Linked DNA regions of Drosophila melanogaster. The protein of the gene in region 2 interacts with the protein of the main gene of each other region in a pairwise test. Each region holds a gene or a part of one and is shown on either strand. Other genes may lie near its edges.

The links. The genes of interacting proteins can lie anywhere in the genome.
Region 1: the proteins of Cpr50Ca (region 2) and Mdr49 interact in a two-hybrid assay, tested with the Drosophila melanogaster proteins (one large-scale study listed by BioGRID).
Region 3: the proteins of Cpr50Ca (region 2) and CG11322 interact in a two-hybrid assay, tested with the Drosophila melanogaster proteins (one large-scale study listed by BioGRID).

Annotation. Positions count from the first base shown.
Region 1 is NT_033778.4:12,940,338-12,948,197, reverse strand, and holds the start of Mdr49 (multi drug resistance 49), read left to right. Parts: upstream 1-1,850; 5' UTR 1,851-2,022; intron 2,023-2,952; 5' UTR 2,953-3,010; coding exon 3,011-3,112; intron 3,113-3,177; coding exon 3,178-3,371; intron 3,372-3,430; coding exon 3,431-3,676; intron 3,677-3,809; exon of another isoform or gene 3,810-3,965; intron 3,966-4,059; coding exon 4,060-5,621; intron 5,622-5,796; coding exon 5,797-6,242; intron 6,243-6,345; coding exon 6,346-6,954; intron 6,955-7,024; coding exon 7,025-7,774; 3' UTR 7,775-7,860.
Region 2 is NT_033778.4:13,768,300-13,772,951, reverse strand, and holds the start of Cpr50Ca (cuticular protein 50Ca), read right to left. Parts: upstream 3,038-4,652; 5' UTR 2,979-3,037; intron 2,187-2,978; 5' UTR 1,978-2,186; coding exon 1,936-1,977; intron 1-1,935.
Region 3 is NT_033779.5:6,757,354-6,761,574, forward strand, and holds CG11322 (uncharacterized protein), read right to left. Parts: upstream 2,276-4,221; 5' UTR 2,142-2,275; coding exon 699-2,141; 3' UTR 511-698; downstream 1-510. Other genes in the region: LUBEL (linear ubiquitin E3 ligase), read right to left, coding at 2,837-2,872, 3,207-3,375, 3,445-3,816, 3,883-4,221.

The sequences.
Region 1 (7,860 bases), 830 kb from region 2:
AGTTCTTCCGCCTTAACATAGAAATTACAATTAGAAGATGGTAAGTAAACGATTTGCGGGCACGAGAGTTTAAGGTCAAAATAATATTGTATCACGTAGAATAGTAAACTTGGCTTAATGTGCGGAATTAAAAACGCTGTATTCCCAGCTTAGCAAAGAACCCCATATGCTTGAAAACCTCCTTGAACCCACACGGGTTTTAACGATTAGACAAATCTGGCATTTCCCACAACTATCCGTTATTGGCCAACACAAGATTTCTTAAACGATTCTGGTTTTTCGACGTCAACTCGGCGCACAAGATGAAAGAGAAGAAAGAGAAAGGCGAAACAGGTAAGAGTAAATATGAGCGAATGCGTCATAATGCGCACTCTGGAAATACACCGTCAGAAAAACTTGAATATTTAAACTTGAATTTAAACTCACATTCTACATATTTTAATATTTTCACGCTTTTAATGTGTTTTTTTAATGATATGCACTTTAAGCAATTAATTTTTTAAATTAAACAAATTTCAGTTCTTTATTAAACTTATTACTTCGAAACCCATTAACATAATTAATGTAATTTTAACAGAAATATATATTGTCAGACCAAAAATGCATTGTTGATACGAAGTAATGGAAGCTCATTAAATATTAAAAAATGAACCCAAAAGTCAGATCAAAGATTGTGAAAATAAGCAACTCGCCACTGAGTAAATCAACAAATACTTTCGCCAATATTTGATATACACCTTTGTTCAAGTTCTATCCCACGTCTATAAATATGAACGAATTTTTAGAACACTAATCTGGTTTGCCGTAGATAACATAGTCGCATTGGACTAGGTCCGTAACCAAGAGAACATTTGAATGGAAACGATTTTAAACGCCTTCCAAAATAATTTCGCCATATGATGCCAAATGGTTGAAAACACCATACCTGGCCGCAATTATCTATTGGACTAACCTTGTCTAAATTGGCCACAATTCGGCTTATCTGACTTGCTAAATAACATTTTGATAGCACACGTATATACATATATTTTATTTTAGTGCCGTTATGGGCAATTCGAGTGCTTACAACTGTCGATTAGATTGCAGATGAGATCCCTTTGGAAATTTTTTGTTTTCCAAATCGTTTTGCTTGGAGACACTACCCTCTTTGAAATACTTTTCAACTGAAATGGTGAAATACCGACAAACCATTGCAAAAGAAGTTTACCATGCCCCACGATATCTCAAAATCTGAAAACAACATTATTTGTATTTTATCACACCAAGTAGTGTGATATATTTGGATTGGGGAAGTCGCCGCTGGGCAGCGTAAGAATGCCGCTACCACGCTTAAGCATCCAGGTATTTCACGGCACACCTGAGCGGCGGTATGAATCATGACTTTCGCACGCGATACAGATACAGATTTCCTCTCGGTTAGTCCCCCGATCTGGCGAATTCAGCTTAAAATCTTTTGCGCGGGGAAAACCATGCGCGCAAATGGATTACGCTTAGTCCGTTTTTGTTTTGGCCAAAAAAGACCCGACTCCACTGCATCTATGGACACGCTGGGTCAGTAAACAAATACCGGTTACGAGAGACTGATAACAAACTTACGCCGAATCGATGGTATGTACGTACAACATAACTGTCTAATCAATCTAATCTGCATCGTCTTTATGGCTCTGTTTTGGTTACAGGACCAGCGACTAGGAACCAGTATTTCCCGCCGCCTGGACGAGTGCGAGGAACAGGCGGGTTGCCAGGCGGGAATCCCGATTAGTTATACGATCGACTTTGTTGCCGCTCGAGAACCGAGAGCCGAGATTCTGGCACCGAGCTGTCGTCGCAACCATTCGATTTTGTGTTAGTCCAGTTCAGATCGCGCACTCGTCGGCTGCAGACGTCTTCTTGAGCACTTCCCAGTGCCAATAGAGCCAGAGGAAATATAGATATATGTATATATATACATATATAAAGTCTTCAGACGATCGCGAGTTTCATCAGTTTGCCAAGTGTCCACGGAAGATCGGCACGTGCTAAGTAAGTGCCATGTAGCGCAAGTGAATTTCCATTAATTGATTCAGTTTCTCGATGCATTCGATGAGTGCGTTTCGTCGACAAGTGAATAAGATTGAATCGAATCTGAGTAGCTGAGGAGTGGGCTATTATACCCAGTTCCTTGGATCTTGAGTGCAAGCCGTTCGCAATTGACAATCGCAATCAACACACAAATATCTCGCTTTCCAATTGCGCTTAATTTATTAATTTATGTACGCTTGTTTTTCATTCGCGCAATCGAGCTAATTTCCTTAAATTGACTTGGGAAAATTGTTTTTGCTGATTAATCAGCCCTTTGCTCTGCGTCGAATAATTTCTACAATATATTTTATGTAACACGTAAAGATACATTAATTATCACACACTTAAGCGTCATAATTGCTACCATTTTTATCAACATTAGTTATTTTAATGGTATTATAATTACGTGTTTCCAAGATGTTGAGATACATTGATTTCCATTTAATTAAGTGCAAGAAAAGTGCAAGTATTTCTTGTTAAGAAAAAACGAATGTCAAACTATTATTATAAAATAGTGGCAATGCAAGAAGATAAAGTTCTAGAAATTTATTTCATAACATTATGTTAAATCTGAGCCTGAATTCTTTGAAGAGTTGAAATATTTTTTAAAATTCAATCATACTTTTGTTAATCTCCCCAGTAACTTTCCTGGGATAACATGTTTGCCTTAAGAGCACTGAACTCTTTTTGTGAATTAGAATTAAGAAGATAGTAATTAGGCTTTTATAGTCGAGTTTGCAGATAAAAAGCGAGAGCAACTGGGTGTGTTTGTGGTTCTCGTGGTTAAGTTCTTTAATTGATACACTCTAAATTATAGACCCCAATTTAGAGCTTAGATATCAGGCCAGCACACAAAATGTTGTGTTTACTAATTGTTAACTTTGTTCTTAGGCTTAATTGCTATAGCGAGTATAGAGATACTTTACTGCAGTATCGCCTCATAGACACAATGGTCAAGAAGGAGGAATCACGGCTGCCACAAGCTGGTGACTTTCAGCTTAAGGAAGGATCAGTCGTGGATGCGACCCGAAAGTACAGTTACTTTGATCTGGTGAGTGGTGACTCCGCATCAGCATCGTTATAGGTTCTATATCCTTTTTGGTCTCGCCTCTATAGTTCAGATACTCAACCAGATGCGAGCGCTTCCTGTTGGTAGTCAGTCTGCTGGTGGCCACCGCTGCGTCCGCATTTATTCCCTACTTCATGATTATCTACGGAGAGTTCACATCCCTGCTCGTGGACCGAACAGTCGGCGTGGGCACATCCTCGCCAGCCTTTGCTCTGCCCATGTTTGGTGGCGGTCAGCAATTGTAAGTTCTTAATCATAAGATAGTCCAGGATTATGTTATAACGTCAAATTTTCGTTCAGGACAAATGCCAGCAAAGAGGAGAACAACCAGGCGATCATTGATGATGCGACTGCCTTTGGCATTGGCAGTCTGGTGGGATCTGTGGCCATGTTCCTGCTCATCACACTGGCCATCGACTTGGCCAACCGGATAGCCCTCAACCAAATCGATCGCATCCGAAAGCTCTTCCTGGAGGCAATGCTGCGACAGGACATCGCCTGGTACGACACCAGTTCGGGCTCCAACTTCGCCAGCAAAATGACAGAGTGAGTTTCGTCTCAAATAATATAATTATTAATAAGCGTATAATCCGAATCTTATTGCATTAAACAAATTATAAAAACCATATCAATTGAATATTCATTAGCAGAGCTAGAAAATTACGCAATCATAGTAGCAATCGGACTTATTAACATCAATATGGTTTAAATATGATTGAAACAATTTATCACTATCGCGATTCCCAGACAATTTTAGGAAGCCACCTGAAAGTTTTTAAATAAATTAAATATCTCATGCCAGTGACGTGAACTTTTTTTGTGCGAATTTTACAATGTATTTATTCAAATTCCTTTTAATTCTAGAATTAAATTCTAAAGACTTTAGAGTATTTTTATAACTCCTCGATTTTTTTCTTTGGAATTTGCAGAGACCTGGACAAACTGAAGGAAGGCATTGGCGAGAAAATAGTGATTGTGGTATTCCTGATCATGACCTTTGTGATTGGAATAGTGTCTGCTTTCGTCTACGGATGGAAGCTCACCCTGGTCGTTCTGAGTTGTGTGCCCTTCATCATTGCAGCCACCAGTGTGGTGGCTCGACTCCAGGGATCGCTGGCCGAGAAGGAGCTGAAGTCCTACTCCGATGCAGCCAACGTGGTCGAGGAGGTATTCAGTGGAATTCGCACAGTGTTCGCATTCAGTGGTCAGGAGAAGGAAAAGGAACGCTTTGGCAAGCTGCTCATTCCCGCAGAGAATACGGGTCGCAAGAAGGGTCTATACTCGGGCATGGGAAACGCACTGTCCTGGCTGATCATCTACCTGTGCATGGCTCTTGCCATCTGGTATGGTGTGACGCTCATTCTGGACGAGCGTGATCTTCCCGATCGCGTTTATACTCCGGCCGTTCTGGTCATTGTCCTGTTCGCCGTGATCATGGGTGCCCAGAATCTCGGTTTTGCCTCTCCACACGTGGAAGCCATTGCTGTGGCCACGGCAGCTGGCCAGACCCTGTTCAACATCATCGATCGTCCGTCGCAGGTGGATCCAATGGACGAGAAGGGAAACAGGCCGGAGAATACCGCTGGACACATTCGTTTCGAGGGCATACGCTTCCGTTACCCCGCCCGTCCGGATGTGGAGATCCTCAAGGGTCTGACCGTCGATGTGCTTCCGGGTCAGACGGTGGCCTTCGTGGGCGCATCTGGGTGTGGCAAGAGCACCCTCATCCAACTGATGCAGCGGTTCTACGACCCCGAAGCGGGCAGTGTCAAACTGGATGGACGGGATCTTCGAACACTGAATGTGGGCTGGTTGCGTTCGCAGATCGGAGTGGTGGGCCAGGAACCGGTTCTCTTCGCCACCACCATTGGCGAGAATATCCGATACGGAAGACCATCGGCCACTCAGGCGGATATAGAGAAGGCGGCGCGAGCGGCCAACTGTCATGATTTCATCACTCGCCTACCCAAGGGCTACGACACCCAGGTGGGCGAGAAGGGCGCTCAGATTTCTGGTGGCCAGAAGCAGCGGATTGCCATTGCCCGGGCTTTGGTTCGACAGCCCCAAGTGCTTCTTCTCGACGAGGCCACCTCTGCCCTGGATCCCACCTCTGAGAAGCGGGTGCAAAGTGCCCTAGAACTGGCCAGCCAGGGACCAACCACTCTAGTTGTGGCCCACCGACTGTCCACCATCACCAATGCCGACAAGATTGTCTTCCTCAAGGACGGTGTAGTGGCGGAGCAGGGTACGCACGAGGAGCTCATGGAGCGACGTGGTCTCTACTGCGAACTGGTGAGCATCACCCAGCGGAAGGAGGCCACGGAGGCGGACGAGGGAGCGGTTGCCGGGCGACCTCTGCAGAAGTCGCAGAACCTGTCTGACGAGGAAACCGATGATGACGAGGAAGATGAAGAGGAGGACGAAGAGCCGGAGCTGCAGACTTCGGGCAGCTCCAGGGACAGCGGATTCAGAGCCAGCACGCGACGCAAGCGTAAGTACCAGAAGTTGGAATATTTAATGCTTTTACTAACCCAAGTACCAAGACTTAAATTCGATATTAAGTAAAGAAAATAAGTAATAAAAACAAATGCAAAATTAAAAGTTCTATAAAATCGTGCACTATATTATATATATTAACTTTAAAATCCAATTCAAATAATTAACAGGTCGCTCGCAGCGTCGCAAGAAGAAGAAGGACAAGGAAGTGGTATCCAAGGTGTCCTTCACTCAACTAATGAAGCTTAATTCTCCGGAGTGGCGTTTCATTGTCGTCGGAGGCATTGCATCCGTAATGCATGGCGCCACATTCCCGCTTTGGGGTCTCTTCTTTGGCGACTTCTTTGGAATCCTCTCGGACGGTGACGATGACGTTGTGCGAGCCGAGGTCCTGAAAATCTCCATGATCTTTGTGGGCATTGGCTTGATGGCCGGATTGGGCAACATGCTCCAGACCTACATGTTCACAACGGCCGGCGTGAAGATGACAACGCGATTGCGTAAAAGGGCTTTTGGAACGATTATTGGTCAGGATATTGCCTACTTCGATGACGAGCGAAATTCAGTGGGAGCACTGTGCTCCCGGCTGGCCAGCGATTGTTCCAACGTTCAGGGTGTAAGTTTCAAGATTGAGGGTAACCATGCAGAAGCACTGCTATTCCAAGCTACTGCTTTTTACTATATATGTTTAAATATCTAACGCTTTTTCCTTATTCCAGGCAACCGGAGCTCGTGTGGGCACAATGCTCCAGGCCGTGGCCACTCTTGTGGTTGGAATGGTCGTCGGTTTCGTTTTCTCCTGGCAACAGACGCTCCTCACACTGGTCACCCTGCCCCTGGTCTGTTTGTCCGTCTACTTGGAGGGCCGTTTTATCATGAAGAGCGCCCAGAAGGCTAAGGCGTCGATCGAGGAGGCTTCTCAAGTGGCAGTCGAAGCTATTACCAATATCCGAACGGTCAATGGTCTTTGCCTAGAGCGCCAGGTCTTGGATCAATACGTTCAGCAGATCGATCGCGTGGATATCGCCTGCAGGCGTAAGGTTCGCTTCCGTGGTCTGGTTTTCGCTTTGGGACAGGCGGCTCCTTTCCTGGCTTACGGCATCTCCATGTACTATGGTGGTATTCTGGTGGCAGAGGAGCGAATGAACTATGAGGACATCATCAAGGTGGCCGAGGCTCTGATCTTTGGCTCCTGGATGTTGGGACAGGCCCTGGCCTACGCGCCAAATGTAAACGATGCTATTCTGTCCGCCGGACGCCTAATGGATCTCTTCAAGCGCACCTCAACGCAGCCCAATCCGCCACAGAGTCCCTACAATACAGTTGAGGTAAGTCAACATTTCGCCAATCGAAACCGTACATTATGTTGGAAACTCAAATTTGATTGTTTTTTTTTAGAAATCCGAGGGAGACATTGTCTATGAAAACGTGGGCTTCGAATATCCCACCAGGAAGGGCACTCCCATTCTGCAGGGCCTAAATCTCACCATCAAGAAATCGACGACGGTTGCTCTGGTGGGTCCATCTGGTTCCGGCAAGTCCACCTGCGTGCAACTGCTGCTTCGCTACTACGATCCCGTATCGGGATCCGTGAATCTGAGCGGAGTGCCGAGCACGGAATTCCCGTTGGACACACTGCGCTCCAAGCTGGGCCTGGTCTCGCAGGAACCCGTGCTCTTCGATCGCACCATTGCCGAGAACATAGCTTATGGCAACAATTTCCGTGACGATGTGTCCATGCAGGAGATTATTGAGGCGGCCAAGAAGTCGAATATCCACAACTTTATAAGTGCTTTGCCCCAAGGCTACGACACCCGACTGGGCAAGACATCGCAGCTCTCTGGAGGTCAGAAGCAGCGCATCGCCATCGCTCGAGCCCTGGTTAGAAACCCGAAGATACTCATCCTGGACGAGGCCACCTCTGCGCTGGACTTGGAGAGCGAGAAGGTGGTGCAACAGGCGCTGGATGAGGCGAGATCAGGCCGCACATGCCTGACGATTGCGCATCGTCTGACCACCGTGCGGAATGCGGATCTCATCTGTGTGCTAAAACGCGGCGTGGTAGTGGAGCACGGCACCCACGATGAGTTGATGGCACTGAACAAAATCTACGCCAATCTCTATCTGATGCAACAGGTGTCGGGCTAACACAGCGAACTGGAGTGATAATTGTTAGGCTTTAATTTAGTATGTACACTAGGCTAATTGAACATGTTGAAGTATTACAAAAAAAA
Region 2 (4,652 bases):
TTTTTTCGCCCGGAAAAAGTGTCTTTTCATTTCAGATGGGACACGCGCTAGATTCGTTTGAAAACTCAATGCAAAGAAGCGATAAAAATTGTTGCTATTTGCGTTCGTTTCAGTTTGCTCAGTCGGATTTTATGGCATTAGAAGTGCTGCGAAAACTAGTTAACAATTCCTTTACGATCCGCTAAGAGAGGCAAAAGGAGCGAAACTACTACTTCAACTTCTACTCCTACTTCTAATACTACTATCTGCATGGCGTTTTAAAAGTTTTCTTTTGTTTTGACATTATTTGGGAAATTGAAACTGTAATATTTGCAGCGAGAGCTGCGAGAGCTAAAGTTTGATTAAATTACGTTTTTACCATTTGGCTTTCGAGTTTTACAGCTGTTTACAAGTTGTATTTATTGTACTGGCAGTTTAAAAGTGCTGAACTGGCTTTTATTGTACTCGGTTTATTTTTTCAAGACAAATAACCAATAATAAAAGTCAGCATGGCATGGAGGTGATAAACTTGTAAAAGCAATTCAATTAGTTTTGATCATCTTCTGGCTTCTTAGTTACAAGGGAATCAACATCTCAGTGGGCAAACAGAAGGTGTTTTTTGTATCAGCATTCAATTAGTTTTAGAAAAATCATTTATTTTGTGGAAATTCGTTTTGGGTTAATATAAACTAAATCACTATCTTTTGTTTGATTTGATTAAGTTTTGGATTCGTGTATGTTTTTATTTATTTATAATTTTTTCTCTAAAGTTCCATGTCTTTAACCCAATCAATACAAACACATTCCCTCTGGACTTTATTGTTCTCGTTCGCTTTCTTTCATGTCGAGCAGGTTGCTTCATTAAATGGTTTCTGTAATTGCTGTTTGGCCACAAGTTTGTTTAATTGTTGGCTGCAATATGCGCTTACGGCATCGTCTCTTGTTGTATGCAACAAGCCGGAAAAACGTGCCACCCAGACGAGTGGTATGGTGTGGAGTGGAGTGGGCCAAGACCCAGGGCCAAGACTAAGTTCCAGACCAAGAGCAAGACCAAGACGGAGAGCGAGTCGAGACAGCAGAAGAAATGGTAGCAGGCAGGCAAAAGGCACAGCTTGGGCTAATTGTTAATGTGGCAGTGAGATGTGGGTGGTGCAACGTGGGTAGTTACCAACTGCAGTGGCCGTGGCAGTTAGAACCAGTTTGGTCTTTTTTGCCCTGGCCAAAAACCGGCGGCAAAGTCAAGTTCAATGCACATAAAAGACTTTACGGGTCTAGAAAGTGCTGGGGGTACGAGTGCTTCCTGGGCCACAAGGAAACTTGGCTGAAAAGAAATGCCAGCAATGGTCGCAAACTTTTTTTTTTTTTTTTCCATCCACTTAAATTGCAAATTTCCAGTTTCGATTGCAAATGCTGCTGGTGCATTTTCCTTTCGTCCCGGCAGTTGGATATGGATTCCAATGTCGATTCGGTTAGATAACCACAGCGGGCCTTCATAAAGACCGGGGTCATAAAATGGAGAGCGTTTTGGCCAAAAAGCACAAACAATCAATGCCAGTTGCATAACGAATTTTTGAGCAAAGATACTTTGGAATACGCTTTATGATTTTAATGCCTGGTAATTAAACGAAGTCTGGCCAGTATTCGCTGGTTTCCGGGCTAATTGAAGTTCAAGTGCAATGAAAATAAATTGCTTGCGAAATGTGCGTGCGCCAGGAAAATGAGAAGAAGCCCGCCATATGCAGTGACTGGCCGCGTCCATTTCCTGGCCAGAAAATGAAAATCGCTGCATCGAAGGCCGACACTTTTCCCAGGCCCACGCCCAGAAATTTCGCTCGAAGTCTCTCCACTGGCGCTTGTTGTTTTCACGCCTCGATGGCCCTTGCAGTTGTCGGTTATTTATATTAAAATTTCAGAATGATGAACCCGACCCGAAACGAACCGACCCCATGTACTTACCATTAAGGTGGGGATGCCACCGCCGCAGATAGCCATTTCCATTTTCCTTGGATGTCGGCGGAAGTTCGGGCAAATGAGGCGTCAAGTTGCACGTTGCACTTTTCGCGTTTCCACAAAAGTGGCAGCTCAATTTGTAATTGTTGTTGAAATTTCTGTTATTCTCCCACGCTGTTTTTCGCCGTCTTGGTATTTTAAATACAAATTGTAAATGAGTTTGTTCAGCGTTGAACCTTATTGTTTGTTTGTCGGACCTGGAAAAGTATTCGTTCAGTTTGGTTAACTATCACAGCAGCTAATTGCGAAAAGTGCTTTTCAAATTCTCATATTAACTGTTTTAAACATTTCCCCATAATTATGAAACATCATAATTAACAAATTAGTAAAACAAAAATCATTATATGGTACTTTAACAGATGACACATCTGCAAAGGCTGTGTTAAATGAGTACTTTTTAAAACTATGAAGGCAGAAAAATAGTATCCTGCGATTTCAAAAATTCCTGTTCTTAGAAAATCAAATGAATGACAAATGAATGAATTATGTTTAATGAGAATTATTTCTGATCTTATATTCTTTACCAAAATCTTTTTCATTAGTAACTAAGAGATTTTTGAGATAAAACAAGACCATAAAATCTAATTTAACAAATTTAACTATCTAACTAATCGTTTTCGTTATTCGTCCTTAGATGTTTCACTTATAAGTTTCACTTTTGTCATTCAGTAAAATATTCATTAATTTGCTCGACGTTTAACTTGATGCGTTTATATTTTTTTGATTTAATTTATTTTAAGGTATATTATATCCTTGTTAGCCAGCACTTTGGTTAAATGTAATGCAAGCTCTTTATATTTTTTTTTTTTTTACAAAATGATTTTCTCATATCCTTTGCGGAGAAAAGCAAACTTTGACTATATTCATTCAACTTTGTCTTTGAGCTTTGTTTAAACTTGCTCGTCGCAGTCCTCGTTCGTTTCTCATTTATTTAATGCGACTTTTAATTTGAGTTTTCGTTTCGTTTCGTTTCGCTTTGCCTTGTTTACTTTTGGCTGGAAAAACTGTGGAGGAAAACCGCACGCTTGCGCGCTGCTGTTGCAACTGTGCCTCGAATTTTCGCGCCACTTGAGTTTTGTGTGTGTTCGGGGCCGCGCAGTTTTCACGGAGACAGCCGGTTTGTTGTTGGCTCGCTTTTCGCTGCCTCGCTTTTCCCATTTTCCATTTCCATTCCTTTGCCTTTGCCGAAAAGACTCGGCCATGTCTGGCGTATTGCTGTTGCATTTTCCATATTTTTTCTCCTCCTTCTTTTTTTTTTGAATTTTATTTTTTTATGTGTGGGGCATAATAAGCTGCTGATTAAATTTGCAACGCTCAGAAGGAAGTCGAATTTGCAATTTATTCGGGGAAATTCATTTGCATTCCAAATCTGTGGGGATAAATGGAAATTAGACAGGTGCTACGATGCCAAAAATGATTTTACCTATATTAATTGTTACATTTTTTATAAATTCCAATGATTAAGAGTTTATTAAAGTTGTCTTTATATTTGATATATATATTCTTCAAACAGAGCATTTCTTTTTCGACTTTTGAAAATTGAAAACCTCACCACTCACTTGATATTTGTCTTTTAGCTGGCTGCATTTCGAGCTGCTTTTTTGGCCATGGCTTTGGCCAAGGCGTTAGCCAACTTTTGACCATCAACATTTGCACAATATGCGCTGTTGCTGTGCTGATGACAACGAAATGTACAAGTTTTCCTACCATCTGTGTGCATTTTTCTTTATTTTTTACGAGGGCTTAGAGTGCGTGCGTCTGGGGATAAAACTGAGCTCAGTGCCGTCATGGTTGTATAATTAATTTATTAATGGCAACAAGTGAAATGCACTGCCACGCATTTCCTATAAGGCTTGGCCCAGCCTGATTATGTGATTTATAGGAACTTATATATTTATAAGTTTGATATTGATATTTATATTTGATTTATAGAACTTATACCCCTTGGTTGGTGTGATGTGGTGACTGGTGGGTAAGAGAGTGCTAACCCCTGGGAAAGTTCAACTGCAGATATTATGCAACAGGCAACCGCGAGTCACGCACGCGCTGCCGCAAATGAAGTAGCTGACAAATTATCTTTATTTCATTTTATATTATTTTATTGCAGCCCATGGTGGGACTTTAAAGCGGCTTAGAGTGGCGAGGTCGGACTATCTGTTCGAGTGCATCGAAACCTGGGCCAGATGCTGAGCTGATTGGGGATTTTTGGCTATGATTGGTGGTTACCACGGGAAAGAGAGTGAGAGAGAGAGGGGGGGAGGCGGCTTTTGGCACTTTCACATTTGTTTTTGCTGGTGTTGAAATTGAGTTATTAGAGGAGAGCCATGTAAGCGACCAGGGGCGTATACTTAATATTTAAGCAAGGGGGGGGGGGGGGTAATATTCCCAGCTTACTAATGAATACATATAATTTTTATCAATTTTATAAAATCGTTTCTTTTTCATGACCAGAGCTTTCGACATCACTTTCTTTACCCCTTCCGCCGAGAGTCTTAATTCCACACCTCTGGGCACGTTCCTCGGGCAATGTGCCAACCTCCTACCGAAAGCCACATAATTGCTGTAATCGCGGTGGAGATTTGCAATCTCGTAATAAATTCAGACACCGAAGATGCGCCAGAAGTTGGAGGAGCCGCTCCCTCCGGCCGGAAACCCCCATGTGG
Region 3 (4,221 bases), on a different chromosome or scaffold from region 2:
TTAAAACCGCGTATGTGAGTGTTGCAGTTCGGGTTTGAGTTCAAAGCCAGAAGCAAAACTTTTAGGACGAGACGATCGTTTATGGATCAATAAATATACAATTTATCCCATTTAATTAGTTGTTATTGGTGTAAAACTGTCCGAATATCAAAACATGTTGTGCCGCGCGCATAAATTCATTTCAATCGCTACGAAAATAGGTTTTTACGATGCCACCACCATCGTCCCATCGCCTTCCCTGTTCTCCACCGAGTAACTTGGCGTATCTGAATCTGAATTTGAATTTGTATCTGAATATCCCCCACTTACTGTATTGCTTTTTTTCGCTCATCTGGTTGTTGTGCTTGTGCCTTTGCTTTTCGTCTCGGGACTTAATTTATGGCTCGCATTTGCCTTTTTGGCAATATCACAAGCGGCCAAGGAGATGAATATAATAATAAGTCTCTGTGGATATACGACTTTCCAGATACTCACAGCATACTCATCAGAATAGCTCAAAAGTATGCAGTCATTTAATAGTTGTGTATTTTATTTAACTGGTAACAGAAAACAAGAGAAACAAAGAAACAATAATTTAACAAGTTAACAAAACTATGGGATTTGAATTAGTATTCTAATGGGATTTTGTGGTTAAGTCACTCCTATCCTATACAAAATATATACTTAAAATTCTATGCCAGCAGCAAAGTCGCTGCATTCTAATCCATTGTGGAGTTCAGTCTCATGAACTCCTCGTTGAGCAACGCCATATTCGTGGAGTGCGTGTTGGCTCCCTGCTCGCCCAGCTGCAAGTACCTGTCCCAAATAAAGCACTTGAACGGTGTCATCGTCGGATCTGACCGGGTCCAATCGTACATCTCTGACTTCCAAACGTTCTTCACGCTCACCTCGAACTGGCAGTAGTAGCAACGTAGGTTCTGCATGCTCAAGTCGGCCACGCCGTAGGAGCATCGGGTGCACATAGTGCAGGTGTACTTGAAGCTATCTATGCAGTTGTCCTCGATGGTGGGTGCCTCCGGCAGGGCCATCTTCGCCTGGTAGGCCCACCTGCGGCAATTGTCGCCGTGACCCAACTCCCGATTGAACACAAATGCCGCCACGTGGCACATCTCGTGCAGCAGGCAGCGGATTAGCTCCGCCGTAGTCTTTATACTCCGCAGAAGTAGAATCTTGGCTCTGCGCTTACCATGGGCATCGACGGTCAGCTGGCATGTGCATCGCGTGTGCATTGCGTGCTTCCAAACAATGGGCACCTGAAGGCCACAGTGGAAGATCGCGTGGTTGAAGATGTTGAACAGCACTTTGGCCAGTGCCACCTTGCAGATTTTGAAATTGTTTTGCCTGTAGGTGAGCGCCAGTGGATGGCACATATTGAGCGAAATCGAAGGGCTGAGCGAACGAACGAATCCGTAGAACTTTGGATGCCGCTCCAGGCATGGCACACTGCTTTTGTGACGTCGGCAGTTGGCGGCCAACTGCTCTTCGTTGGGTAAATCGATAAGATCAATGGGCTCCTTATGCAAGTCCGGGGTGCACTGATCAAAGGAGAATGCAATGGACCAGAGCTCAAAGTCATTTTTGCTTTTAGCCTGGCTCTCCTCAGGGGTCGGTTCATCGATATTCGACAAATTAAGCTTTGACCAAGTGGATGTCATCATTGTTTTCGGACGAATTGGTTGCTCGGCTGATGGAGTAAATGGCTCTGCGGACGCATGGGATGAATTGACGACACAATTGATATTCTCAATATCCTCCGGCTTCATATCGTAAACCACCGCAGGATTGTAGAGCTTGCGGCGTGATGGTATCAGACCCAAAAATTTGTGCATCTTCGTTTTAAGTTGCACATCGTCTTCCAGCTTGACGTTGGGCTGTGGCTCGTTCCTAACGATAATGATTTTATCGCCCAACTCGAGATAGACCAGCGGCGGCCTTTTGCGACCCGTCCACTCGGGCTGCTGATACTCCTCGTCGTCGGCATCATTGGAGTCCTCCTCGCCATCGCCCTCCGACTGAGAGGATGAGTCGGAAAACTGTTGGATGGACATCTCGTCTAGATTTCGGCGGCACTTATTTTTAACACACCCATGGCCTTTGGTCACCGGCAAGTGCCGTTTCACTGGCAACTTCTGTATTTCCATGTCGGTATCCATGGAACTACGACTGCTGTCGTTCATATCATCGAAGAAATCGGAGAGGTATCCTTGATGAATTTCTGGTGCAGCTCCCAAAGTCGGAGGTGTTTGGAGCACGGATTACTTGAAATTAGTTTGATTGCCTGGACTGATGGCTAAGTCATAGGCTACCTGTGCGCCTTTGGTCTGCAGTCCTTGGTTGGGTTGACCACGCTGTCGTCCGGATTTGTATTTGATTGTGCGGACATCTCAAATGCGAAATCGATTCGAAAGTCCTGGAACCGCCCACAGCAAACAACACTTTCCAAACTAACCATCTGCACATTGTTAGGCACAGGCTGAAAAGCTTAAAATAAATTCTAGAAACGATTGGATTGGATTTTCACATATGCCGCCGTTTATTGGATGCACTCTATTACACGTGCGGATATTCGGTCTGTTGTTTTCCATCTCTTAGTAACTAAACAAAATGGGAAAGGTTTCTGGATGGATAAACGATGAGTGGGTGGGTGTACAATGAAGGTGTATACATGCCATGTCTAATGTCTAACGAACTGTCTAGCACTGAAGTTTGATTCGTGAGTGTGGGTGGGGTGGTGGGTGTATAAAAATGTCTATAAAAGTGCCGCCATAAATCAAAGATATTGGTGAAGAATTGCAATAGTCGTCTGCTTCCAAAACATCACTTGTTCAGATTCTGCTCATGCCGATTTCAGTGGTATATGCTTTTTGATTACCTAAAAGTAAGATCGAGATTGAGAGATTGGAACATTTATAAACATTATCGATTCGACCGCCCAAACTGTTTACAATTAAATAATAATAAAACGAATATCAATTAAGAAGCGTGTGAAATACGTCAGACGGCATGCAAATTTAGTTAGCGGCTGAACGATTTTGTTTTCATTTTATTTGGATTTTTCGGTATCGATCCATCGCCAGGAGCGGCCGCTGAATCATTCGGCAAAAACAAATCGCCCCCGGAACGCATGGAACTCGATTTCCGCGATTAAGGCCAATGAAATAAAAGGAAATCAATTAAGCCATCAACTGATGATAGCCAACACCTACCTCGGAGCACATGTTCTTGTAGATCTCATCGGTGTCCCAGGGTCCTCTCTCCGGCAGAGCGATGCCTCGCCTTCGCAGCTCCTGGACGCAGTCCGTCAGATCAAAGATGGGCAGTGGATCGATGCCAGCCTTGGCAACCTTGCCAGCCAAATACTCTACGTAGTGGGTGCTTAAATGATATAGAAGTATATTGGTTGAAAAATATGATTTTTCGGGGATTTCCCGATATTAAACTTACCGACACATGCCAGCGTGCTTGTCAGGAACTTCCGTGTTGCACACTGTGTCGACTAGTCCTTGCGGCGTCTCCTTTTGCAGCGGGATCGGGCAGCGGGCCTGGGCACGAGCCTTGGACGAACTGCTGGACTCGTCCTTGATCTGCATGGGTTCCGTGTCGAATTTGACGTTTTGCTCCTTGAGCAGGAACTGCAACTGAAGGGGGATTTTATCCCTCAGGTAGAACAGGCAGTTGCGCGGATGATGGGCATGGAGACCGAGCTTGGCACAGTATGTGGACACAGTGCACTTGGCACCCATCATGAAGGGTCGGGCACATCCGTAGCAGAACTCGAATTTGCACTGAGTACAGGTAAAATGCATGCATCCGCCTCTGTATAGGTTGAACATTGAACTTGTAAAAGATACAACATACTGATATTTCTGTATCTGAACATACCTGGCCAGCGAGTATCGGAACTTGCACTTGGGACAGTCGATGCCGTTTTGGGCCAAATGCTCCTGGACACCCTGGGCCTGCAGCTCGGGATCGTTTTCGCGCTTCCATTCCAGATAAGCTTCGCAGCTACTGCCCTCGTGCTGGCGCTCCCAGGGCTTTCGGCACTGGGCACAGGTAACGGATCCACAGTCCGGACAAATCAATCGCTTCTGCTTGGGCCGAGCGAAGAATCCGGACGAGCACTGGATGCACCACTTGAAGTTGGGATCCTGCAGCAGCGAGCGATCGCGCAACTTGCGCTGGAACAGTTCGTGCACATCGTTGTCCAGGATGCTCTTC